Linked DNA regions of Saccharomyces cerevisiae S288C. The protein of the gene in region 1 purifies or fractionates together with the protein of each later gene. This does not show direct contact. Each region holds a gene or a part of one and is shown in the gene's direction. Other genes may lie near its edges. The genes, in order: MAM3 and VSB1.

Region 1 (4,622 bases):
GTTTGCACCAGATAGTGCGCCACATTGGATTCCTAACTCATCAGTAACATAGGAGGATAGCAATTGCACACCCTTGGAGCCCAACTCGAACCCTTTTAGACACGAGATGGCCCTTACATGAGGGGCCACGTGGCCTTGCAATTGTTTGACTATGTTTGGTAAAAATTGATGAGGGATGTTGAAAACAAGGATGTCAGCACCCTTGATGGAGTGTAAAAGATCAGGATCGGCCACTAGATTATGGGGCAGGTCAATATTGGGTAGATATTTAACGTTCTGGTGTCTTGTATTTATGATATCCGTCAGATTTTCGTCGCCGATCTTTTCATCAAAAACCCACATTCTCACCTCTGGCTCGAAGATATGGGAATGCAATTCTGTGTTTTCCGCAATGACTTTGGCGATGGTGGTCCCCCAGTTACCAGAACCAATCACTGTAACCTTGAAGGGCGCACGTTTCAAATGTACAATTGACACGGCAGAGTCCGATCTTCTGATAGGATGGTCCTCATGACAGTGTTTGTGCTGTTTGATATTAGTATGAGCAGTCATCTTTGAGTGCAGTTGTGTTTGTAATAATGATCTTCTTAGGAAAGTAGATCTTGAAGGCAAAATTTTATATGCACGACGAGTATATAACACCGGATGCGTTCGCTTAAGGAATGTGTATCTTGTTAATCTTCTGACAGCAAGCATTGATAAGGAAGGGGAGCGAAGGAAAAGGAAAGGGAAAGAGAATTGAATCTACCAAAATACATAAACTTAAAAATTAATATATAAAAAAAAAATCTAAAGGAGTAGAAAGAAGAACCCAAGGATAAATCAAGGAAAAAGCTTAGTGGAAGGAAAAAAAACTAGAAAAAAAGTAACAAGAAAAAAAGGCAAGAAGAAAAAAAAGTAAAACCAAAAAAAAAAAAAAAAAATACTAGAATGACAGGGTAGAGAAGAGCTGCTGAACAATAGATTAATCGGAATAACAATGGCAATAGGTCCGTAAGCTAAACACTCTTCCCCTCAGCAACCCATCGGCACCTCGCCGCAAAAGCGTAATATAACAATGGCAGAGCCATCGTCGTCTTATTGTTTCGAGCATACTCAAACCTTCTTCATCATGTGAAGGAAAACAAACTCGGTAATGATGATGACTGAATCTTAGAAGATACACGCTTGCATGATGGCTATGGCTAGAGGCTAAGGCGATATGATGGTGATGGTGACGGTGATGGTAATTCCTTGCTCCAGTTTTTATTTTTCGCCCTCCCGAATTGCTGTCATCAACGGGTGGGGTGGGTGATGGCTCAGGATTAGCTCATCGCGCACGGTTACCTGGGGGCGGTGCCTGGGTTGAGGAAGGCGCGGGTGCTCGGATGTTCCGATAAAATAACCGGAGTTTGTAACGTACAGAGTGAGATATACCCTAGGGCATACCGTTCATTAAAGCAGGGTATTATCATAGAAACGAAGTCAGGGTTAGGGCTAGTATTTGTTTTCTTTCTTCATTCTTTTGGTTTCTTTAAATTCTAAATTAGCAAATGGGAAAAAAGGGACGACCTTGGTGATTGCACATAGGCTTTCCCCATTCGTGCTTGTTTGCTTATTACATAATAAAAAAAGAGTTGATATCGTCACAGTTACTTGCTGCTGCGTCTGTTATTTGCACGAAACTCTCCCCACTATAATAGATATGTCGTTTTTGCCACTAAGGTCTAGGTCACGATCAGGCGCTCCTCATTGGGTATACATCATCTTATATCACATCTTTACGATACCGAAGATATATTCACTGCCGTTGTTATCCGGATCACACGTACTCAATTCTAGGGATGTTGCCGATTCCGGCCATAGCGTAGGTGATGAGGCAAGCGTTACCACGTACTATATTATCTCTATCATCCTAGTGCTGCTGGGTGGTGTATTTGCAGGATTGACGCTGGGGTTGATGGGTCAAGATGAAGTCTACCTGAAGGTAATCAGCACTTCAGGCTCGAATTCTGAAAAGAAACTGGCCAAGCGGGTGCTTGACCTAATATCTAGGGGGAAGCATTGGGTTCTAGTCACACTGCTGCTTTCTAATGTTATAACCAACGAAACATTGCCTATTGTTTTGGACAGGTGTCTTGGGGGTGGTTGGCAGGCTGTAGTGTCGTCAACTATTCTAATTGTGATCTTCGGTGAAATTATTCCGCAGAGTGTCTGTGTTAAATACGGGCTGCAAGTTGGGGCATTCTTCTGCCCCTTTGTTCTTGTACTGATGTATCTGATGTACCCAGTCGCATATCCGATCGCGACTCTCCTGGACTATATGCTGGGTGAAGATCATGGTACGATGTACAAAAAATCCGGCTTAAAGACTTTGGTCACCTTGCATAGGACCATGGGGGTGGAACGGTTGACTAAAGACGAAGTTACAATCATCTCTGCTGTTTTGGATCTAAAGGCAAAGAGGGTTGAGGAAATCATGACTCCGATTGAAAACGTGTTCACAATGAGTGCCGATACCATCCTAGACGATAAAACTGTCGAAAAAATCTTCAACTCAGGGTTTTCTAGAATCCCGATTTTTTTGCCCAATGAACCAAACAACTTCATCGGCATGTTACTTGTCAGGGTGCTTATCTCCTACGATCCTGATGACTGCCTCCCAATCTCCCACTTCCCCCTAGCCACGTTGCCAGAAACTTCCCCGAACACATCTTGTTTGAATATTCTGAATTACTTCCAGGAGGGGAAAGCTCACATGTGCGTCGTTAGTAAAGAGCCGGGCTCCTCGCATGGCGCTATTGGTGTTTTAACTTTGGAGGATGTCATTGAAGAATTGATCGGTGAAGAAATCGTGGACGAGTCTGATGTCTTTGTGGACATGCATCAGCATATTATGAGACAACAACCGGGGCCCTTGAGCAAAAGGCACATTACTTCCTATTTGCATCATTTGTACACTAGCTCTCACAAGGAGCACAAAGCTGCTGACCAAGCTGATGAATCGTCTCCACTCTTGTCTCCATCCAATTCTAATCACCCATCCGAGCACCCACAGCAAGATTTGAATAATAAGTCTTGGAAGCAGAAGTCAAATGATGGTTACGACAGGTCCAACGCTGTATTGTCTCCAACTCCACAAGTGACGGAACATGGCACCATCATACCTTCAAATCTAGCGTCCAACCCGTTGAACGTAAATAAATCTTTTGTTACCATTAAAAAGCCTGCCAATGTTCCGAAAATCATTACTACACACACTCCTCATTCTAGCAAAGAGCCTTCTCCAGCACCACACTCAAATGATAAATCACTCTCCGCCGAAGAACAACAACTATTAAGTGATCATGCAGAGCTATCTCGCCAAGCTGTTCTCCATACTCAACGGTCGGGTCAACCAACTCAAGTTACTACCTCGACTAAAACCACGAGAAATAGCCCTGATAGTATATCAATTCCAAATTCTGGCGCGAATCACGGCAACGAAAATCAAAACGTTACAATCTCAACCTCTTACCAAAATACGAAGAATGGTATTGTGGAATCTGTCATCACAGTCAAAGGTGTTCCAAAAACCATCATTGGCCCCGCAAAAGATTGGGACGAATCCAAAAGTGAATATGGAAACGAGAATATCAATCAAGAGAATTCTAATCGAAGTGACGATAGAGAAAGTTCAAGTTCAAATGCAAGTTTATTTTCCAGTATTAAGAATAAATTTAAGAACGAAAACGCTAACAACAATGATCGTTCTAATTTCACCGACTCTTTGTCAAGAACTTCCAATTATGATGCCAACGGCTCCTCGTCGACCATAAAAAGATGAAGAGATTATGCCAAAAGAATTGCCCATGCATCATAATAACCATCATCACCGTTCTTATTAGTCCCAGACGCATGAAATCACAGGGGAGAGCAGCTTAAAATTTTTTCTACAGACATACAAGAAGAAATTGCAGTTTTTTTTTTTTTGTTTCTCTAACCTATAAATAAAATGTTTCAATACACATACTAAACAAAGAAAAAAAAATGTAGAGAATTTTATACGCAAAATATATAGACACTTTCCCCTATTTTTATCAATAAAAAAATGAACACATCAATGCCACTACCATCCATGCTCGAACAACATAGAAATGGATTCACCGTTATGGATTCTTCTAATTGCTTCACCGATTATGCAGGAGACATCAATAACATCCACTCTGTCCTTACCTAGGTACTGTAGTGTTCTATCTTGAGGAACCGTGTTAGAAATGATCAACTTATCTATACTACTTTGGCCGATTCTTTCTAGCGCATCACCGGAAAAAACACCGTGCGTTATTAAGGCATAAACTTTGGTAGATCCTTGATCCTTCAACAATTTCGCAGCTCTTGTAATAGTGTATGAAGTATCCACCAAGTCGTCGACTATAATACACACCTTGTTTCTAACATCGCCAACAAGCATGGTAGTTTGAACGAACTTGGACGAATTAGAAGATTGCGACGAGGTGGAAGATGTTGAAGTTGTTTTCTTCATTTCAAGGGCCGCAACCCCAGTGGCACCTGAAGAAGTAGTATTTTGGGAGGAAACCAAAGTAGTAACTAATGGCCTTGGAGATACTGGTAACGAACCACCAGAGGTTAACGTCGCATCT
Region 2 (5,732 bases), on another chromosome or scaffold:
TCTGAAACGGACAAGATTACTCGTTACTTTACCCCAGACTGGTTGGATGAAAAGCGTATCCCATCCACCCCAGTTGACTACCATGCTATCAGACACAGTTTAGAAAAGGCCGTTAGAAAGAGGCTAATGGCTGAAGTTCCATACGGTGTTCTTCTATCCGGTGGGCTGGACTCTTCTTTGATTGCTGCGATTGCTGCTCGTGAAACGGAAAAAGCTAATGCTGATGCTAACGAAGACAACAATGTTGACGAGAAGCAACTTGCAGGTATCGATGACCAAGGCCATCTACACACATCCGGTTGGTCTCGTTTGCATTCGTTTGCGATTGGTCTACCAAATGCACCTGATTTACAAGCGGCTAGAAAAGTCGCCAAATTCATTGGTTCTATCCACCATGAACACACTTTTACATTACAAGAAGGTTTGGATGCTTTGGACGACGTGATCTACCATTTGGAAACTTACGACGTTACCACTATCAGAGCTTCTACACCAATGTTCTTACTATCTAGAAAGATTAAGGCCCAAGGTGTCAAAATGGTTCTTTCTGGTGAAGGCTCGGACGAAATATTCGGTGGCTATCTATATTTCGCACAAGCACCTTCTGCTGCAGAATTTCACACCGAATCTGTGCAACGTGTCAAGAACTTGCATTTGGCAGATTGTTTGAGAGCTAATAAGTCCACGATGGCTTGGGGTCTAGAAGCTCGTGTTCCCTTCTTAGACAAAGACTTTTTGCAGCTATGTATGAACATTGATCCAAATGAAAAGATGATCAAGCCAAAGGAAGGACGTATCGAAAAATACATTTTAAGAAAGGCATTCGACACTACAGATGAACCAGATGTTAAGCCATACCTACCTGAAGAAATCTTATGGAGACAAAAGGAACAATTTTCCGATGGTGTTGGCTACTCATGGATTGACGGCCTAAGAGACACTGCTGAAAGGGCCATTTCTGACGCCATGTTTGCCAATCCAAAGGCTGATTGGGGCGACGATATTCCAACCACCAAAGAAGCTTACTGGTACAGGCTGAAGTTTGATGCTTGGTTTCCTCAAAAGACTGCGGCAGACACTGTCATGAGATGGATTCCAAAGGCCGATTGGGGTTGTGCCGAAGATCCTTCAGGTAGATACGCCAAAATACACGAAAAGCACGTCAGTGCTTAATACGAGCGCAATCGTATTCTTATAATTGACGAGTGAACCAAGAAATGCGGTGATACAAACGGATATTAATCTATATAGATATATGTATATAATAAAAGTTTTCAATCTGCTGACCCCTTAGGTTACTTATCTATAGGATTCGAATTACGATATGAAACCCTTTCGGTAGATATCACATGGAATACTGCAGCCGATTGATTAGTTAATTTCTTATCTCGCTTTTTTTCTCTTTATCTATCTATCTATCTATTTATCTATCTATCCTTATGCTGCAAAATGAAAAATTCCCTAGGAAGTTCGCGCTATCAAGGTTCTTTTTCCCACGTATCGGTCCCTGAGTGGATCCCAAAAAATGTGTGGGACTATGACTATATATATAACAGTCACAGTTGAATCATATTAATGTTCTATTTCTTGAGGTGATTTCAAATTGTGGCTCCAACAAGTAATCTCGGCAAGCTATCCCTTTTTAAATAATATTTTGCATTCTTTTTCTTTTTTTTTTTTTTTTTTTTCCATCTCACAGCCCTTCTTTATTTTTTCAATAAGGTAACAGAGTTGATAAGGAACCAGATAACAATCAAAAAGAATCGTTTCATTTCAGAGCTACCACCGGTCTATAAGCAAGACAGTTTAAAATCTCAAAAATTTAATTTAGAAATATGGGAAGGACTATTAGGAGACGCCGGAGTAATTCGTCGCTTTCGGAGGCCATATCAGTTTCTTTAGGAATAAATCAAGACTCATCTGTGAACAAGATGCATAGAGCGAGTGTTAGCGCAATGTCTCCTCCATTATGCCGTTCATACATGAGCGGATTTTTTACTGGTGGAAACTCACCTATGATCAATAATTTGTCGGATTCAAAACTTCCCATCTCGAACAAACAACATCCTAAAGTGATACATGGATCAGAAAATTTGCATAGGCAGACAGCTCAACTATCCAATGAATTTTGCTCCTCTTCTGTGGAAGAAAATTCTCCCACAATTAAGGATTACATGGACATTATAGGCAATGGTGATAGAAAAGATGATCAATCTATGCGTACTATAGAAGAGAATATTGATGAAGAATATTCAGATGAGTACTCCAGATTGCTACTTAGCCCAGCATCGTCTAACGTGGACGATGACCGAAATCGAGGACTACAGAATAGTTCACTACCGGAATTAGAAGATGGTTACGCGGGCGGATATCAGTCACTTCGTCCCTCCCATAATTTAAGGTTTAGGCCAAGAAACTTGTGGCATATGTGTACGTCATTTCCTTCCAAATTTGCACATTATCTGCCCGCAGCAGTGTTAGGTTTGCTTTTGAACATTTTAGATGCCTTATCTTATGGTATGATCATTTTTCCAATCACAGAGCCAGTTTTTTCTCATTTAGGGCCCACTGGTATATCCATGTTTTATATTTCCACCATAATATCACAAGCCGTGTACTCCGGAGGCTGGTCGAGTTTTCCTTCCGGGATTGGGAGTGAAATGATTGAAATTACTCCGTTTTATCATACAATGGCATTAGCTATAAAAGAGGCATTAGCAGGTAATGATGACGAAATCATAACGACAACGATATTTTGTTATGTGATAAGTTCGATGCTCACAGGTGTCGTTTTCTATGCATTGGGTAAACTACGACTAGGAAAGATAGTGGGATTTTTTCCACGACACATATTGATTGGCTGTATTGGAGGTGTTGGTTATTTCTTGATAATTACAGGAATTGAAGTCACAACGAGGGTGGCGAAATTTGAATATTCATGGCCTTTTTTTTCAGGGCTGTTTACGGATTATGACACATTAGCGAAATGGTTATTACCTGTACTATTGACTGTAGTTTTAATCGGCACTCAACGCTACTTTAAGAACTCACTCGTTTTGCCAAGTTTTTACATCTTGACGTTAGTTTTGTTTCATTTTATTGTTGCGATCATTCCAACATTATCCTTGGATGCTTTGAGACAAGCTGGATGGATTTTTCCTATTGCCAACTCAGATAGTAAATGGTATGACCATTATAGATTATTTAATGTCCATAAAGTTCATTGGTCACTAGTTTTGCAACAAATACCAACGATGATGGCATTGACATTTTTTGGTATCCTACATGTTCCTATAAATGTTCCTGCGTTGGCTATGTCACTACAAATGGATAAGTATGATGTTGACAGAGAATTGATTGCACATGGTTATTCCAACTTTTTTAGTGGATTATTAGGTTCTGTCCAAAATTACTTGGTATATACCAACAGTGTTCTGTTTATTAGGGCGGGCGCTGATTCGCCATTCGCTGGGTTCCTTTTAATAGCTTTGACTATCTGTATTATGATCATTGGACCAGTCATAATATCATTCATTCCAATCTGTATAGTGGGCTCTCTAATTTTCCTACTAGGCTACGAGTTATTAGTGGAAGCGTTGGTCGATACATGGAATAAATTGAATAGATTCGAATATTTGACTGTTGTCATTATTGTTTTCACGATGGGTATCTTTGATTTTGTCCTAGGTATCATCGTTGGCATTTTAATTGCATGTTTTTCGTTTTTGGTGGATAGTACGAAATTACAAACCATTAACGGTGAATATAATGGGAACGTCGCAAGAAGTACAGTATATCGTGATTACGTTCAAACAAAATTTTTGGATGGAATTGGTGAACAAATATATGTTTTAAAGCTCCAAAACCTTCTGTTTTTCGGAACAATCATATCTATTGAAGAGAAAATTGAAAGATTGCTGCAAATAAGTAACAAAGATGCAACAAAACGCAGAATAAAGTATTTAATATTGGACTTTAAAAATATTAATGCCGACAATATTGACTATTCTGCGGCAGAAGGTTTCAATAGAATTAAAAGATTCACGGAAACCAAAAGAATCAAACTAATCATATCTTCAATCAAAGAAAGGGACCGTATTTACAACGCCTTCAATAATGTGGGATTACTAAACGATGTGGAATTATTTGCTGATTTAAACAGTGCGTTGGAATGGTGTGAAAACGAATTCCTTTTTCAATATAAACAATTAAGAAAAAAGGCGAAAGAAAGATTGGAAGAAGGAAAGCAAAATAATGTCGTATCCGCAGTAATTGCAGCCACTAAAAACAAAAAAATTGATACAATAGGAAATGGTTTAAACAGGGGAAGCAATGGAGACACAGCGAGAAACTTAATGTCACTACCAACCAATACTCCTCGTAATTACCAAATACTTTCTGTAGCACAGAATGTATTTGTAAACGACGAACAAGCAGTGAAGAATTTCAAAAAGGAGTACAAAGATGATGAACCTGTCCTGCCTATATTGTTATTTGCATTAAAGCAGTACCGACCCGATATAATATCTGAAGTTCAAAAAGTAAGAGAAAAGGAAATCAAGTTTTGGGCACAACTCTGCCCCTACTTCACCAGGCGCAGATTAGCAAGTCAATCACATTTACTACATGCAGACAACATTTTTTTCCTTGTGGAAACAGGTATGTTGAAGGCAACATATGAACTACCACAAGGAACCTTGTACGAGATTTTTTCAAATGGCACATGCTTCGGAAAAATCATTGCGCCAGGGAATGCTATGCCTAGAGAACAAAAGCTCACCATCGAAACTGAAACTGATTCCGTATTATGGGTTATAGACTCTAGCTCGTTGAACAAATTGAAAGAAGACAATCTAGCATTGTACGTGGAGGTTGCATTAATGGTCATGTGTATCAAGGACACCAGATTCAAAGAATTACTAGGTTACACACTTGTTAGCGCATGAGAGCGTACACGTATATTTATTTAATTTCTTTTATTGCCGGCGTATTGCAAGTAATTTACACCAGTACTAAATAAAAGCAGGATGCTCCTGCATCTGTATAAGTGATGCCGTTGTAGGATTTTTACCATCTCGACTATAAACTTTTTGTACTTGAGTCTTCACTTCCGGAATTTTACTGCGCGATTTTCTTTGATAGGGCCCCTATCGTAGACGAAAAGTGATAATTCCCATCGATGAGCAACTACATACCTCACTTGACTTAATTGCTCTCCTAAAGAAAAAAAATACCGTTACTTTTTTCATTAATATACTACCACAACAATTCACAACGGGTAGTTGTACGGTTAGTTTATATCCGCATTAACAAATCAAAGTCATAACAACGTATCAACGTAGACTATGCCTGTCCCATCTGTTACTGTCACTACCGATAATGAATATGAAGACATATCGTCCTTTTCTTCTATTGACTCTTACAAACCGGAGCCCTTTACTGGGTTCAAAGATTCTGAAGCTCCAGAACAGCCTCTTTTAAAAAACGATACCATTGTTGGAAAGGGGCAACTGGAAGATGATAGTAATGTAGATGATCAACACCGTCATTCAGATGTGCATTCTCATCACAGTTCTAGTACTTTAAAAAGGCCAACTTCAAATTCGATAGAAAAGATGGTTACCCACAATGCTTTAGAGGGCAACTCAGAAACAGTTGATTCCTTAAAAGAAGATGGTTTAAATTTGAACAAGAAAGCTCTTCCGGATATTACCGCCCCAGTAACAAACTCA

The links.
Region 2: the proteins of MAM3 (region 1) and VSB1 purify together in Saccharomyces cerevisiae (affinity purification with mass spectrometry, with the first as the bait; one large-scale study listed by BioGRID). This does not show direct contact.

The regions. Positions count from the first base shown.
Region 1 is NC_001147.6:213,200-217,821, reverse strand, and holds MAM3 (Mam3p), read left to right. Parts: upstream 1-1,684; coding exon 1,685-3,805; downstream 3,806-4,622. Other genes in the region: glycerol-3-phosphate dehydrogenase (NAD(+)) GPD2, read right to left, coding at 1-696; ribose phosphate diphosphokinase subunit PRS5, read right to left, coding at 4,088-4,622. UniProt on the Saccharomyces cerevisiae protein: Involved in metal homeostasis and more specially in manganese sensitivity.
Region 2 is NC_001139.9:740,490-746,221, forward strand, and holds VSB1 (Vsb1p), read left to right. Parts: upstream 1-1,835; coding exon 1,836-4,946; downstream 4,947-5,732. Other genes in the region: ASN2 (asparagine synthase (glutamine-hydrolyzing) 2), read left to right, coding at 1-1,173; YGR126W (uncharacterized protein), read left to right, coding at 5,346-5,732. UniProt on the Saccharomyces cerevisiae protein: Amino acid transporter involved in vacuolar uptake of basic amino acids for storage during nitrogen replete condititions. May function as an amino acid/proton antiporter.